Nothobranchius furzeri: one gene and its partners. The protein of the gene in region 4 interacts with the protein of the main gene of each other region in a pairwise test. Links are inferred from orthologs where the notes say so. Each region holds a gene or a part of one and is shown on either strand. Other genes may lie near its edges. The genes, in order: mcm6, jade1, tat and ubiquitin-protein ligase E3A.

The links.
Region 1: the proteins of ubiquitin-protein ligase E3A (region 4) and mcm6 interact in binary tests that used the Homo sapiens proteins (3 or more experiments, as listed by UniProt). The link is inferred for Nothobranchius furzeri from reciprocal best matches to the Homo sapiens genes UBE3A and MCM6.
Region 2: the proteins of ubiquitin-protein ligase E3A (region 4) and jade1 interact in a two-hybrid assay, tested with the Homo sapiens proteins (3 studies listed by BioGRID and IntAct). The link is inferred for Nothobranchius furzeri from reciprocal best matches to the Homo sapiens genes UBE3A and JADE1.
Region 3: the proteins of ubiquitin-protein ligase E3A (region 4) and tat interact in binary tests that used the Homo sapiens proteins (3 or more experiments, as listed by UniProt). The link is inferred for Nothobranchius furzeri from reciprocal best matches to the Homo sapiens genes UBE3A and TAT.

Annotation. Positions count from the first base shown.
Region 1 is NC_091751.1:64,049,513-64,053,079, forward strand, and holds the end of mcm6 (DNA replication licensing factor MCM6), read left to right. Parts: coding exon 1-3; intron 4-84; coding exon 85-240; intron 241-351; coding exon 352-480; intron 481-1,749; coding exon 1,750-1,914; intron 1,915-2,087; coding exon 2,088-2,211; intron 2,212-2,287; coding exon 2,288-2,464; intron 2,465-2,532; coding exon 2,533-2,672; intron 2,673-2,753; coding exon 2,754-2,864; 3' UTR 2,865-3,158; downstream 3,159-3,567. Other genes in the region: uncharacterized protein si:ch73-71c20.5, read left to right, coding at 3,234-3,321, 3,520-3,567. UniProt on the Homo sapiens protein: Acts as a component of the MCM2-7 complex (MCM complex) which is the replicative helicase essential for 'once per cell cycle' DNA replication initiation and elongation in eukaryotic cells.
Region 2 is NC_091758.1:17,731,466-17,735,686, forward strand, and holds the start of jade1 (protein Jade-1), read left to right. Parts: upstream 1-1,419; 5' UTR 1,420-1,538; coding exon 1,539-1,552; intron 1,553-4,221.
Region 3 is NC_091744.1:86,501,553-86,505,610, forward strand, and holds the start of tat (tyrosine aminotransferase), read left to right. Parts: upstream 1-1,204; 5' UTR 1,205-1,341; intron 1,342-3,162; 5' UTR 3,163-3,168; coding exon 3,169-3,466; intron 3,467-3,599; coding exon 3,600-3,704; intron 3,705-3,829; coding exon 3,830-3,897; intron 3,898-4,041; coding exon 4,042-4,058. UniProt on the Homo sapiens protein: Transaminase involved in tyrosine breakdown. Converts tyrosine to p-hydroxyphenylpyruvate. Can catalyze the reverse reaction, using glutamic acid, with 2-oxoglutarate as cosubstrate (in vitro).
Region 4 is NC_091743.1:81,627,741-81,630,798, forward strand, and holds the end of ubiquitin-protein ligase E3A, read left to right. Parts: intron 1-1,561; coding exon 1,562-1,682; 3' UTR 1,683-2,530; downstream 2,531-3,058. UniProt on the Homo sapiens protein: E3 ubiquitin-protein ligase which accepts ubiquitin from an E2 ubiquitin-conjugating enzyme in the form of a thioester and transfers it to its substrates.

The DNA of each region.
Region 1 (3,567 bases), on a different chromosome or scaffold from region 4:
AAGGTAGCACCGTCCAGCTGAGCCCGGAACACCTCACCTGTTCAAGTTTTTACCTCTGGAAAATAATCTCCTCTGTTTGTTCAGGCTACTCTGAACGCACGCACGTCCATCCTGGCTGCTGCCAACCCCGTCAACGGGCGCTACGACCGCAGCAAGAGCCTGAAGCAGAACGTCAACCTGACCGCCCCCATCATGAGCCGCTTCGACCTCTTCTTCATCCTGGTGGATGAGTGTAATGAGGTACGGAAACACACAACACGGAGGGAAAATGTGTGTGTGTGTGATTTTTCCATGCTGTAGTAACCAAGGATCTGATGGAGGTGATCATTTATCTACCCGTGTGTATCTCAGGTCACAGATTACGCCATCGCCAGGAGAATCGTGGACCTGCACTCCCGGGTGGAGGAGTCCGTGGACAGACTGTACTCCTTAGATGAAATCCGCAGATACCTGCTTTTTGCTCGGCAGTTTAAACCCAAGGTGTGTGTTTTAAATAAAAACAGGAAGTACTCCAGAATAAAGCTGCTACAATAAAAGTATCTAGGTTTCAAGCAGCACCCTCCTAAACCCCACTGCAGCTAACGCAAGCCGATACTACGCGAGTCACGGGGGAAAAAGTCCACACATATGGTCAAAAAATATATTCCTTTCAAGTCCACCATCAGTCTGTGATGTCATGTAGGCCACACCCATTTTCACTCTGGTTTTAGCGCTTTGCTCCGCCTCTAAAAACAATCCTCTCACTTTTATTTCCAGGCTACGCCATGATGCCAACAAAAAAAAAACAACTAACTGCTAGCTTTTATATTGGCTACCAGTACAGTAAACCGCTTTTGCCATAAACCAGGTAGAAACCTCCCTCTAGTGTTCCTACCTGAACCACAAAACGGTTTAGTAGAGTTCAGGGGCGGATTAAGGACCGAAGAAGATCCGGGGCTTAACACGCACACACACACACACGCGCACACACACACATGACACGCATTAGTCAACATCATATATGTCTTGTACCACATAATTTTTAATCTGAAGCTACATATTAAGCATTTTCAGGGCAGAGTATTGTTCCTGTTAGTGTTTAGTGTGAGATGATAGTAAATATTCCCGTTCTTTCTCCAACAACTTTACCTGATAAGCTAACTTTAGGCAAACCAGCAGCACAACAAGTACTTTCTAATAAGACTCACAAACCTGAGTCAACACCAGTCTCATCAAAGCTGGGGTTCTGTCGCCGTACTTTTGGTCTAAAAAACGTCCTTATGTCCATCTTCACTCATGCGTTTCAGGCAGAGAGTGTAGAAGAAGCCGGTTGCTGAAGGGCTTCTTCTTCAGTGGTGGAGGCTCAGGCAGGCTGTATACAAACTACTGCCAGCTGCTCCCTCTCTGTTGGACTTTGGTACTGCATGTTACTTCTGCAATTTAGATCCGGGGCTTTTCATGAAACATCCGGGGCTTCAGCCCAAGTAGCCGGGCCTAACGCTGCCCCTGGTAGAGTTTCTGGTCAGCAGAGGGCTACTGGGTGCTGTCCAATATGAAGATGCTTAAGAACCACTAAAACCAGTTTAAAAGCAATAGCTTAAAATGTTAAAAACCACTTGGTGTTGATTTTAAATGGCCTTACATTTATCAGGTGACTGTTTTGGACTGACTGAGTGTAAAAGCTGCAGTGTGTGTGTGTGTGTGTGTGTGTGTGTGTGTGTGTGTGTGTGTCTGTGTGTGTGTGTGTGTCTGTGTATGATGCCATGGCAGATCTCCGGTGAGTCTGAGGAGTTCATTGTCGAGCAGTACAAGCGTCTGCGTCAGCGCGACGGCTCTGGGAGCGTGTCCAAATCCGCCTGGAGGATTACGGTGCGGCAGCTGGAGAGCATGATCCGCCTGTCTGAGGCCATGGCACGCATGCACTGCTGTGATGAGGTACGACGTAGACGGAGGAGCTGACTGGACCAGGACAGAGCAGTTTGGCTCATGTTTACAGAAAGTGTCAAATGACAGGAAGCGGCGTCAAGACACAGCAGATGACTGGTGTGGACATGATCTGGAAAAAAGATGAATATGAAAAGCACCAATGATGGTTTCCTCGTCTCCAGGTGCAGCCCAAACACGTGAAGGAAGCTTTCCGTCTCCTAAACAAGTCCATCATCCGAGTGGAGACGCCCGACATCAACCTGGATCAGGAGGATGAATTTGAGGACGAGGAGCAGCAGGAGGAAGGTATGAGGAGTTATCTGTATGCACACCCTGCTGCTGATGATCTGTAGATCTTCACTGAACAGTTTTCCATCTGCAGTCAACAATGTACCAAATGGTGTCGACGATCATGTTAATGGGATTAATGGTCATGCCAGTGGCGTGAATGGTCACGCGGAGCATGACAGCCAACCCAAACCTTCTCTGCGTTTGTCTTTTGCCGAGTACAAACGCATCTCCAACCTGTTGGTGCTGCATCTGCGCAGAACAGAGGACGGTAAGAGGCGGTCCTCCTACTCCCTTTTGTCTAAAGCTGCAGCTAAACTGGACTTTTCTCCTTTTCAGCCGATCAAGAGGAGGAGCTGAGGAAAAATGCAGTGATAAACTGGTATCTGAAGGAGATCGAGTCAGATATCGACTCTGAGGAAGAGCTGATCAATAAGAAGGCTCTGATAGAGAAGGTCATCCAGAGGCTGGTCCACTACGTGAGTCTGCGCTCGGTGGATATTTCTATCAATGTTCGATTAAAGTTTAATCCGCTCACACCAACGTTTGTGTCTTTGTAGGATCACATCCTCATTGAGCTGTCTCAGGCTGGACTAAAGGGCTCTGAGGCTGAGAGCACAGAGGAAGACGTTGTTCTGGTCGTTAATCCCAACTACATCCTGGAGGATTAAACCATCTGCTCTGGATGTTCATGGTGTTCTGCTGAAGATCGCATGACTTTGGAGATGCTGTTAGACCATCTTTTGGAGGTGGCCCCTGCTGTACAAAGATGAACTATGGAGGCTCCTAAAAGATGAGATGTAAATACGCTGCTTTGTGTAGTTTGCTCCACTGACTGTTATGAGTCAGTAGAACCTCTGGACTGTGTGATGACTTTCTAATAAGATGGTTTCCACTTGTTGCTGGTTTTGTAATATGGTGACAGGAAGTGTACGCTTGTTTACTCAATAAAATGTTAATGTAAACACGTGGTTTTGATCCTGTTTTTGGGTAAATAACGTAATACCAGCACTGTCCACCGGGGGCAGCAGGCTGACTGGATGAAGAGGTATTGCGCATGTCTGTTTTTGTGTTATTCGACAAACATGGCGGCGCCCCGCTTGACAGCAGTCCGAGCAACCCTAACAGGTAAAAAACACGATAAACGTGAACTCACGTGATGAAGCCACCAAGTTAGCTTTTAATTCCACGTGTCGAACGCTAAATTAACCTATAAATATTTAGGGTTTCGTTGTTGGACGTTTACTCAAACACGTTTCCGGTAAACTAACCGGCGGGGAAGCGATGGAAGAAAAAGGTGATTTAAGGCTTAAATTCGTCCCTCAGGTTTCTCCACCTGTCGGTTTCTCTTCACGCATCGCTTTCAGACCCCAA
Region 2 (4,221 bases), on a different chromosome or scaffold from region 4:
AGGATAACAGGTCTAAATTAAAAGAATAAAATTTTTACTGCAGGAAGCTGATTTCCTCGATCAGGTGGTTAAAATTAATATGTTTAAAGGTTAATTAACTTGATTTGAATCTAAAAGTGTTTAAATTTTATAAATCAATGGTGCAAATATTTGCATTTCATTTATATTTATTAAAAAAGTAAATTTGTACAAAACTTTAAATGAAAGAAAAATGTTGTGTAAAGAAGAAACGTTTCTATTTTAGCTCCATGTTATAAACACAATTCTTCAGCTGACATAATTTAAATGAATCTTTAAAGATACCAAGTGTTTATTAGCAGTAAACCCTAAACTATAAATGGTATTTTTATATGATCTGTCTCTTTAATAATCAGTTTGCCCTAAAAGGAGTGGGTGTTGGGAAAGCTGAGTCATTCACACTAATACAAGAATTGTGATAAATTTGAGTTAATCCGTTGGTTCTTAATAAACAAATCCATTATTTTCCTGAGGCGGTAAAATACTTTGGACGTTTATGATCACGGCAATAATAAAATATACTCATCTCCGATCTGGTTGTGGGATAGTGTGCTGCCCTCTAGCGGAGTCCGGGCGCAGCTGCAGTCCCTTGGTAACCTCCTCCCAGACCGCCGCTCTGGAATACGGGTCAAGCGGATCTCAGCTAAAACTGCGCCCCACAGCGAACTCAAGCATCGGCTTGCATCGGTCTGACGTGCTCGTACGTACTGTACAACTTATTTCAAGTGTTCTTATTAACACGCACACATGTAAACAAATCTTGTAATCGGGAAAGGTGGGCAAGTTTCCGTTATGGTCGCACGAGCGGTCCGCTAGGAAAACGCGACGTCGTCATTTAAAATGGCGCCAAAGGTTTACCTCAGCCCGTTCTGTAAACATCCCACTCTCTACTGCTGGTTAGCCACACTGAAAACCAACTTGTGTTTACATGTTAATTAATATTTCTTATCCAGAGATGTATATTGAACTTGTGTAAGATTTATGCATTAATATCTGACCCCTAACTTTTGACTGATTGCGGCAGTGGCTGATTTAATAAGGGACACAGCGTCTGCAATGGCTACCAACTAGCTCCGAAGTTGCTAACCCCAGGCATATTTGTTTTGCTTTGAGTTTTTTTCCCCTAGAGTGAAGTTGTGTGACGTGAACTGTGTTATACCGGTTCTTGTGTCTCGATACTGCAAGCGAAAGTAGTTATCTGATGATTACGCCATTAAGGCGCCGGGTATGTGTTGGCCTGGACGATGCACACAGCAGCAGCTATCGGGCTAGCAGCGTTCGATAGCTGCAATCACCGTGAGATCTTTCAAATTCAGAACAACTTTGGGTCTTTTGGAATTTTTCATCATTATCTAACGGAACACACAGCCGCTTTCTGGATTCCGCTGTAGTTTTTTTTTCTCAGCGTCACTTTTTGCTGCACCAACACGGGCGTCACGGACACGGGTGTTTAGAATCTACTGGTAGTTAGGTTATCTGGTGAGATTTGCCGATTCGCTACGTGATCAGCGCAGCATTTAATGAACCGTTTTCAGTAAGTTATTGTTGTATTTTCTTTGACCTATCATATCAATTTGATATTATCAAACATCAAACGTGGGGTCTGTTTTTATTTTGTCTGCCTTAACGTAAAACTACTAATTGTCAACACTTTTTGTGTGTGCGTGTACGTTGAGATTACGTTGTACGGCCGCTTCGGAAGTCTACGGAAGCCGCCAGTTCTTATTTTTATATGCCGATGGTTCTTACGAAGCAAAATACAAACGCGTTTGCTCAGATTAACATTGGTGTTTCAGCGTCTATGTAAACGGGAAACGGAAAGTGGCATAACACCGGAAGTGAAGCGAGTTTAAAATGACAATATCCGGTTATAATATTCAAAAAAATAAGTGGTTCATGTGGTGGTGTCACCATCATATTTTAATAAACAACATTTCCATTTCTTCATTTGTTACATTTAAATAAAAACGTGCTCATTTAAATTACTTTGAAGTTTTTTTTTATTTTGTTAGTTACACACACATCCGGCTTGGAACACATATCTTATTTAAAGAGCAAGTCACCCCCAAATAAATTTTTTTTTGCTGATAAACTAAATAAACGAGTGTCTAATCGTGCTGCAGACACGTGTAGTGAATAATTTGGCACTTCAGTCCATCTTAGTTAAAATTTAAATATTCTGCCTAAAACTGGCAGTGTTGTGCCGTTGTCAGGTAAAAACTCTGCACTGTATTTTAATTTAAGTCTGCCACCGCTATTGGCTAAGAGGTATGCTATGATGTAAACTGGTACATTATGATGTCACAATGCTGTTGTGAGCCTGTGTGTGTGTATTTGTTAGCAGCTCCGCCTTCTCGGTCTGCCAGGCAACAGCATTTGTTTCATTTTTCAAACAGGAAGTGAGAGTGGAGTTAGACTCTGGTAGGGGTTGACTTGCTCTTTAAGTCCAGGCTGTAATTTCTTGCTACTCTGCGGCCTTGGAGGCAGGTGGTGTTTCTGTTTATTTGTGGGTTGTTGTTGGATGTAAACTTGAAATAGACCGATATATCAGGGCGATATTTACCAGTTATTATACATATAGTCGGGCACTTCCGCTGGCAGCCCACTGCTGCTGCTGAATTTAATTTTTTAATGTGTATTTACGTTCCTGAATAACACTTGCTTTAAAACATTATTGTTGATTAACATTTTATTTACCTACCTGTTTTGTATATTTAATACGTGTCTGTTATTCATTTCTTTGATTAACTTTGATTAAACAAATAATTAAAACATGGAGATGCACGCAAAATTAATATTGTTAGTTAAATTCAGTGAACGTTGTGCTTTCACTGTTATTAGTGACATCTTAGTGTGTAAATAAGGTAGGAAAATTCAGCCTTAAAAATAGGCCCAAAGAATCGGCTGACTGTGACTTCTACAGGTGCTGGCCAGTAAATTAGAATATCATCAAAAGGTTGAAAATATTTCAGTAATTCCATTCAAAACGTGAAACTTGTACATTATATTCATGCAATGCACACAGACCAATGTATTTCCGATGTTTATTACGTTTAATTTTGATATTTATAGGTGACAACCAATGAAAACATCAAATCTGGTATCTCAGAAAATTAGAATATTCTAAAGGCCAATGAAAAAATGTTTGTTTCTCTAATGTTGGCCAACTGAAAAGAATGAACATGAAAAGAATGTGCATGTATAGCACTCAATACTTAGTCGGGGCTCCTTTTGCCTCAATAACTGCAGTAATGCGGCGTGGCATGGACTCGATCAGTCTGTGGCACTGCTCAGGTGTTATGAGAGCCCAGGTTGCTCTGATAGTCGTCTTCAGCTCCTCTGCATTGTTGGGTCTAGCGTATTGCATCCTCCGCTTCACAATACCCCATAGATTTTCTATGGGGTTAAGGTCAGGCGAGTTTGCTGGCCAATCAAGGACAGGGATACCATGGTCCTTGAACCAGGTGCTGGTGGTTTTGGCACTGTGTGCAGGTGCCAAGTCCTGTTGAAAGGTGAAGTCTGCATCCCCATAAAGTTGGTCAGCAGCAGGAAGCATGAAGTGCTCTAAAACTTCCTGGTAGACGGCTGCATTGACCCTGGACCTCAGGAAACAGAGTGGGCCAACACCGGCAGATGACATGGCACCCCACACCATCACTGACGGTGGAAACTTTACACTGGACCTCATGCAACGTGGATTCTGTGCTTCTCCGCTCTTCCTCCAGACTCTGGGTCCTTGATTTCCAAAGGAAATGCAGAACTTGCTTTCATCAGAAAACATAACTTTGGACCACTCAGCATCAGTCCAGTCCTTTTTGTCCTTGGCCCAGGCGAGACGCTTCTTGCGCTGTTTCATGTTCAAGAGTGGCTTGACACACGGAATGCGACACCTGAATCCCATGTCTTTCATGAGTCTCCTCGTGGTGGTTCTTGAAGCGCTGACTCCAGCTGCAGTCCACTCTTTGTGGATCTCCCCCACATTTTTGAATGGGTTTGTCGTCACAATTCTCTGCAGGGTGCGGTTATCCCTAGAGCTTGTACACTTTTTTCTACCACATTTTTTCCGTCCCTTCGCCTGTCTGTTAATGTGCTTGGACACAGAGCTCTGCGAACAGCCAGCTTCTTTAGCAATCACCTTTTGTGTCTTGCCCTCCTTGTGCAAGGTGTCAATGATTGTCTTTTGGACAGCTGTTAAGTCAGAAG
Region 3 (4,058 bases), on a different chromosome or scaffold from region 4:
ACTCAAGGGGTGAGGCAGTGTTAACTTCTGATCATGTGTGGCCGAGCCGTCCATCACAGAGCCCTCTTCACTGATGATGCCATCACGTGATTGGTTTAGATCACCCGCTCCAAGGTGTGGGAGGAGCATCAAGGTAGAACTTGTTATTATAAAGAGGAAATCTAAGACCGCCACCATGTTGGTTTTTCATGCCGTCATTCCAACCAGCTGTCTGACGTGGACATAAGTGTCAGTTAGGTTATGACGTCATAGCCGACAATTTACCAAATGAAAATAAAACCTCACCCTTTTCTCAAACTGTGCACCACTTTCTACATTTGCACATTATTTATTTTTTGGACAAGTGTTTGTATCACAGTGATCTTAACTCCGGAACTAATTATTTATATTTATTACTAAATCTGTTAAAAACTAGGCAAGATATAACAGCAAACAAAAGTTATTCGGTCAGCTTGTGTACTTTTTTATAAAACTGAGTTTGCCTCTGTCTTGAAACAGAAATGAACCTTTTATTATATTAATCGTACTCGAGCTTTTATGTCTTGTAATCATTCACCAGGTAGGCTCGTGTTTGTTTAGACCTTCATCCCGGAGTCATCTCCAGCTGTGTCACACGTTGCACAACATCTGGAGGTCATAACAGCTCCGCAGCCGTTAGACAATTCAACAACATCATCACAGTTTCTCTGATCAGGATAGAAAACTCATGTAACTTGTAACGCTGGAGGTTTAAGGACGAGCTTTTTTATTTAGGGGAAAGCTCGTTAAAAAATGAAAAACAACATTTTTGTGGACTGTTTAGATCATCAGAGGTCTGCGTGCTGACCAAATCCTGGAAACTCATTCTGAGGCAGGAAGAGTCTTATAAGAATTTAGATTTTTTTGTTAATTATGCAATTATGCATCATAATTATTATATTTCGAGCTTTTAACTAATTTAAAGCAGAGACACAACACTTCCTGCTGTTGAGGCTGTCTCACTTTGCGCCCCCGCGAGGCTTATGACGCGCACAATGCGCCCCCTGCGCAGCCAACGAGAGCTCCCGACATTTGCGTGAGCCCAGACCCGCACACCCTCCTCCCCTCCATCTCCACGGTTCCAAATTGCAGCCGTTAATGGTTTAAGGTGGTTCTGGTTAGTTATGTAAGAGGGTGCAATAGCACAACCCTCAGCTTCCACCAATGGAAACCTGGGCAGCGCTCAACTCCCACATGGATGTCTTCCTATAAAACATCATCTATAGGCTATAAATACGTCCTGAATCTCCCTTTTGGACATTTGGTTTAGGAGTTACTGACCTGCTCTGGATTCTGGAGACTTTGTGCTGATTGTTTTATGAGGTAAGGATTATTTTTCTTCTTCTCCAAAGCTGTTAGAGGATGAATGAATACAGATGATGAACCAAGATGGATAAGAGTCAGCTTGATCATGCAAGTTGGTGCTGATGAATTTTTTTGTGCAGCGTAGGTTCAGTTTGACACAAAGGTGAAGACAGTGAGCATCATCATCCAAAAAGAGATCAAATTAAACCCAATTATTTGATTACTGGCTGCTGTTTCTCAGGTGTTTTGAGTTGATTTTCCTAATTATTGGTGCTAGTAGCTGTCTCTTTTCTTAGTCAGAACATTTCAGCCTCCCCTTCTTTAGTTACTACTTCCCTAGATGACTTAAAATGCTGGTAATTTACCACCTACCCTCTCATGCAATCCTCCTATGTTACTCCTCACAACATCTACAAGGGCGCAACATAAGCATTAATGATGTATACACATTATCCGAAGCGTGTAGTTTCAGTTAAGTCTCATTAACATATGAAGACAAAATATAAAGAAGTTGACCTGCAAGCGAAAGGATTAAAGTTTCACAAGAACTAAAAATAAAATATGATTTTAAAAGTATATCATAATAAAAATGAGGAAAAAAGTACATTTTAGATGAAAAGATGTGAAGGAAGACAAAATTAAAAAAAAAAGATAATCACTGTATCACAAGAAAGACAGAATGAGGAGAAGGTAGTGATGAAGAATCAGCAGAAGGTCGCACCAAAGCCAGCCTGTTTTCAGCTGCTTTTTAAAGGAGACCACTGAGTCCACTGATCTCAGGCTCAGGGGGAGAGAGGTCCAGAGTCTGGGGGCCACAGCAGCAGATGATCTGTCACCTTTGACCTTTAGACTGGTGCTGCACAACCAGTAGAATTTGATCACTGGACCTCAGGGACCTGCTGGGGGTGTAGGGACTAAGAAGATCACCAATGTAAGATGGTGCTTGTCCATGTAAGGCCCTATAGACCAGAACCAGGATCTTGGAATGAACCCTGAAGTTGACTGGCAGCCAGTGAAGCTGGAGGAGAAGCGGGGTGATGTGGGTGTGTTTGGAGGACTTGGTCAGAAGCCGAGCACCGGCGTTCTGAACCACCTGTAGACGGTTCAGGGAGGTTCTGCTCAGACACGTGAAAAGAGAGTTACAGTAGTCTAAGCATGAGGAGATGAAGGTGCGGAGAACTGTCTCAAGTTCAGAGCGGGACAGAATGGGACTCAGCTTAGCAACGTTCCTGAGATGGAAGAAGGAGGAGCCAACAAGAGAACTGACATGAGAATCCAGGGTGAGAGCTGGGTCAAAGGTCACGCCAAGATTCCTGACAGAAGGTTTGGTGTGGGAAGCAAGCTGACCAAGAGAGTCTCTGACTTTGGGAACCAGCTTGTCTGGGGCACAGATGAGGATCTCAGTCTTATCTTCATTCAGCTGAAGAAAGCTCCCACCATCCAGGTTTTGATAGAGTCTAAGCAGGTGTGGAACAGCTGCAGCTTAGACATCTCATGGGGCTTAAAGGAGATGTACAGTTGGATGTCATCTGCATAAAGATGGTAGGAGAGTCCTTTGAAGGAGCTCAGGATGTGCTGAAGAGGAAGCAGATAGAGGAGGAAGAGCAGAGGCCCCAGCACAGAACCTTGTGGGACACCATGGGTAAGAGAGGTGGTGGAGGACCTAAACTTGGAGACGGCCACAGAAAAGGAGCGCTCAGAGAGATAAGAGGGGAACCACTCCAGAGCAGATCCTGATAGGCCGACCCAGTCTCTCAGCCTCTCCAGTAGCAGGTTAGACTCAGCTTATCAATGTTAAGCAATTTAATGACCAGATTATCTTTTTTTATGCATCATCAGTTCCGGATGGACAACAAGGCCTACGTGGTTCAGATGAATGACAAAAGAGTCCATGGCAAATCTGCCATCCAACCCAAACCCCTGAATGGGACTGGTGTGACTGGGAAGGGAATGCATGGGAATGGGATACACCACGTCAACGTGAACGGCAGCTTGTATCCAGCCAAAGTCAAGAGCCGCCGGCAGATGTGGGACGTGCAGCCCTCAGAGATGGCCAACAACACGCTCAACCCCATCAGGGCCATCGTGGATGGGATGAAGCTCACCCCAAACCCAGACAAACCCATGATCGCACTTTCTATCGGTGGGAACTTTCTGGTGTTTCATTTGTTCCCTTGTGTCCTGTGGTTCATCACAAGACTCTGTTTAGTGTTGATTCAGCAAACAGGACACATTTTCGTTTGTTACAATCTCTGAATACCACATCTGCTTTCCAGGAGATCCCACTGTCTTTGGAAACCTGCCTACAGATGATGCTGTTCTCCAGGCCATGAAAGATGCCATCGACTCCCAAAAATTCAACGGCTATGCTCCTTCTGTGGGTGAGTCGCTCTGATGAATAAAGGCGTTGACGTGCAGAAACGACAGTGCTGTCTTCAGCAGAACTTGCGTTCACTGACATTTTCCACCCTTTGGCGTCATGCATCTGTACTTTTTGCACCTTTAGGTTACTTACAGAGTCGACAGGCTGTGGCCAACTTTTACAGCTGCCCCGAGGCTCCGCTGCAGGCAGAGGTGCTGAGTCTGCTTCAGTCACACCTATAAACACTTCCTATATGGAGACGAAGCAGTTTGTGCCAGCAAACATTTTAACTGTACTAACTTATCAGTTTATTCTTACCAAATGACAGCTAAACGTTTCCCCACTCTGCTGTTCAGGATGTGATTCTGACCAG
Region 4 (3,058 bases):
AAGGTAGCTTAAGATAGTTTTAGAGCAGACTGCTTCTAATTCACCATTAGCATTGTTAGCGCATTGTTAGCCTCTAGCCTGCTTCTCCTGAAATTTGAGTAAAACAAAAAGATGCTGTGGCTTCTTAGGGGTACAAGAAATGACTTCTGGGTTGCTCCTGTTTACAGGCTACTGTCCTTTAAACAACTTTTTGCCTGTTGGTTTTGAATTACAAATGCCTGAGCTGCTGAGTTAGCTCACTGCAGATTCGGCAACCTCACAAACTCTGAGTGTAAACGGTGACTACGTCCCACTTTTCTTCTTTTCAAAAAGAGAAACATTGACAGACTCTAAGCTGTGTGAGAAGGACATCGGTTCCAGTTTCACCTTTCTTCCAACCTGACAGACATTAGACCTTTTTGGGATTATTTCTCACAAATTGCACCTTTATGTGGGATGAAACTCTTGCATGGTTACAACAAATAAAATCTGACCAGTGTGGCGTGCATTTGTATACACCCACCCATAAAAAGTTTGATTTTGGTCTGGTCCCACCAGAGTACCTTCTTCCTCATATCTGCTACATGACTAAGGTTGGGCATTGTTTGATTTTGAACGATTCCAATTCCTCAGTTTGATTCCGGTTCCTATCGATTCCCGATTCCGGTTCTTTCAAGACATGGCATGTTTTACATGAGCCAGCTAACCACAGGTCCTGCTTGATGAAATAATCTTAACTTCAACATTAATTTTAACTCTATGAACAACAACATCACCTTCATTTAGACAGAAACATGTTTTGGAGGAAAAAAGAAAGACTTGCAGCACAACCAGTGTGTTTGTTTCTGACCACAACCAAAGTCTGGAAGCAGCCTCTGGGATGAGAGGCTTAATGTCTCCAACATATCCAGAAACGTCCAGCTGTTTTCAGCTAAAACTCTCAGGAAGATCATGTCCAGGATGACTGAGAACTACACCTCCATGCAGCAGCAGCATTCAGTTAGAACAGAAAGTGAAACTTAATTGTAGCTGCTGTCAGTAACAATCTAACAGACACGAGTGTTGGTGAGCGGCTGCATCTGACTGCTGATGCTCCGTGTGTGTTTTTATTTCAGCAGTGAGACAAACTCACCTCACACCGTCCAGAGTTCTTTAAAGCTTCTGTTAAATCCACCGTGTTGACGTATTTTAACACGTTTCCTCTACGCTGCAGGAGTAAAGTTTACGTTACGGAGTAAAAGTTCGGCAGACGTGTTTGTTTATATCTGGGTGGGGGGAGGGGGGACTCGGTGCTGCACACAGACAGCTGGTGTGATCAGCTCTGAAAAGCGTTGATCACAATTTGCAGATCACGTTTATTTTTCATGATCGGCCGCGGATTCCTCTTCCAGTCGGCATTCTAGGAATCGAAATAAAAAACTTTGAACGATTCTGGGGAAAACTAACGGTTTCAACCGGTTCCAATCGATGCTCGATGCCCAACCCTAAATGACTCCTGGAAAACAAAAGCCCCTGATGACTCGTGTGTAACCTGAGTGGGAGTGAGTGGTGACCCCAGCTGTGTTGTGTGTTTTGTCTCCAGGTTACCCACGTCCCACACTTGCTTCAACGTGCTGCTGCTGCCTGAGTACAGCAGCAAGGACAAGCTGAGAGAGAGACTGCTGAAAGCCATCACCTATGCCAAAGGGTTTGGCATGCTCTGAGCCCCCCGCCCCCTCCTGCTACTAACAGACTCCTACTCAGAAAGCCCATGAAGCCCCGCCCTTGTTTTACCAGTCCAAACGGTGACTGATCACCCCCCACGCCGGGGGGTGTGTGTCCAGAAGGAAACATCAGTGAAAATGAGAGGACCCGTGGTTGTACGCCAGCGCACTATTACATCTGCTGCTGTGCCTGCATCATCCTACATCCGTCAGTGAGAGCACAGAGACCTCCTGAAGCACCCCCTCCTTTATGTTCCATGTACAGAGAGGATCATTTTCCTTATTATTTATTTGAAGGTTAAAATGGGTTCATCCATGCCTGTCTGTTGTGGTAGCTTCCCTACTCTGGGAAAGGGGGAGGGTTCCTATTAATCCATGTACATTTGGGACAGTGTCAAGTCAATAAAACCAGTTTATTGAACAAAACCTTGCTAAAGTAACCCTGATCTATCCAATCTTATGATCTAGTTTAGAGTAGCCTTTACTACAGATCCTGTACTCCCCTCTGAAGAGAGCCTTCACTCACCATTCCACCCACTCCTGTTGCTTTCTGTGTCCACAGACACAAAAATGATTAAGGTAAGCATCTGAGGGAGGACTGTCCTTTGGTCCAAAACGGCACATTATCGTAAATCTGTAGCTTATTTTTTAGTGCTTGGGCTTTTTTCGTTTGTATTCTGGGGGGACTCTGTTGGTTAGATTCGATCTTGTCAGAGCTGTGTAAAGTGCACTTAGACATTTTCAGAATGTTTGTTTCTTTGGCCACAGGTTGCCATTATTGTTTGGAGCATTTCATTTCCTTGTCTTCCTGTGTTGACAATTCCAAATAAAAACAAAACCAGTGTTTATATATGAGTGCAGCTGGAACTGCAGCAGTGGATGGTGCCTACGCACCTGCATTTATTTATAAAGCGCCATCTAGAGTCCCAGAACCCCCAAGGCACTTACAACACACACACTAGTGGTGGTGTAGCCGCAGCTGCCCAGGGGCACACATTCAGCTCCATCAGACCCTTCAACCATCACCAGCAGGTGAGGAGAGTGGAGTTTCTTTCCAACAGACCAGGGGTCTCATTTATCAAACATTGCGTAGAATCCTTACTAAAACCCTACTTAAGCTCAGAAACAAAATGTACTTACGCCAAGTAGGTTTGTGATCCAGTGGAGTACGCACAGCTGCACGCAATCTCCGCTTCATAAATCGGAGACTAACGAGAATGTTTCTCAGCTGCTTTTTAGTCACATCCCGCCCTCACCACGCCCACTTACTGCCATAAATAGTCAATGCAAATTGCCTTGTGGATCTCATGCATATACATAAGCCGGCTGTTGCAGCACTCCGCCAATGACATGGCGATCGCAGATCAAGGAAGTGC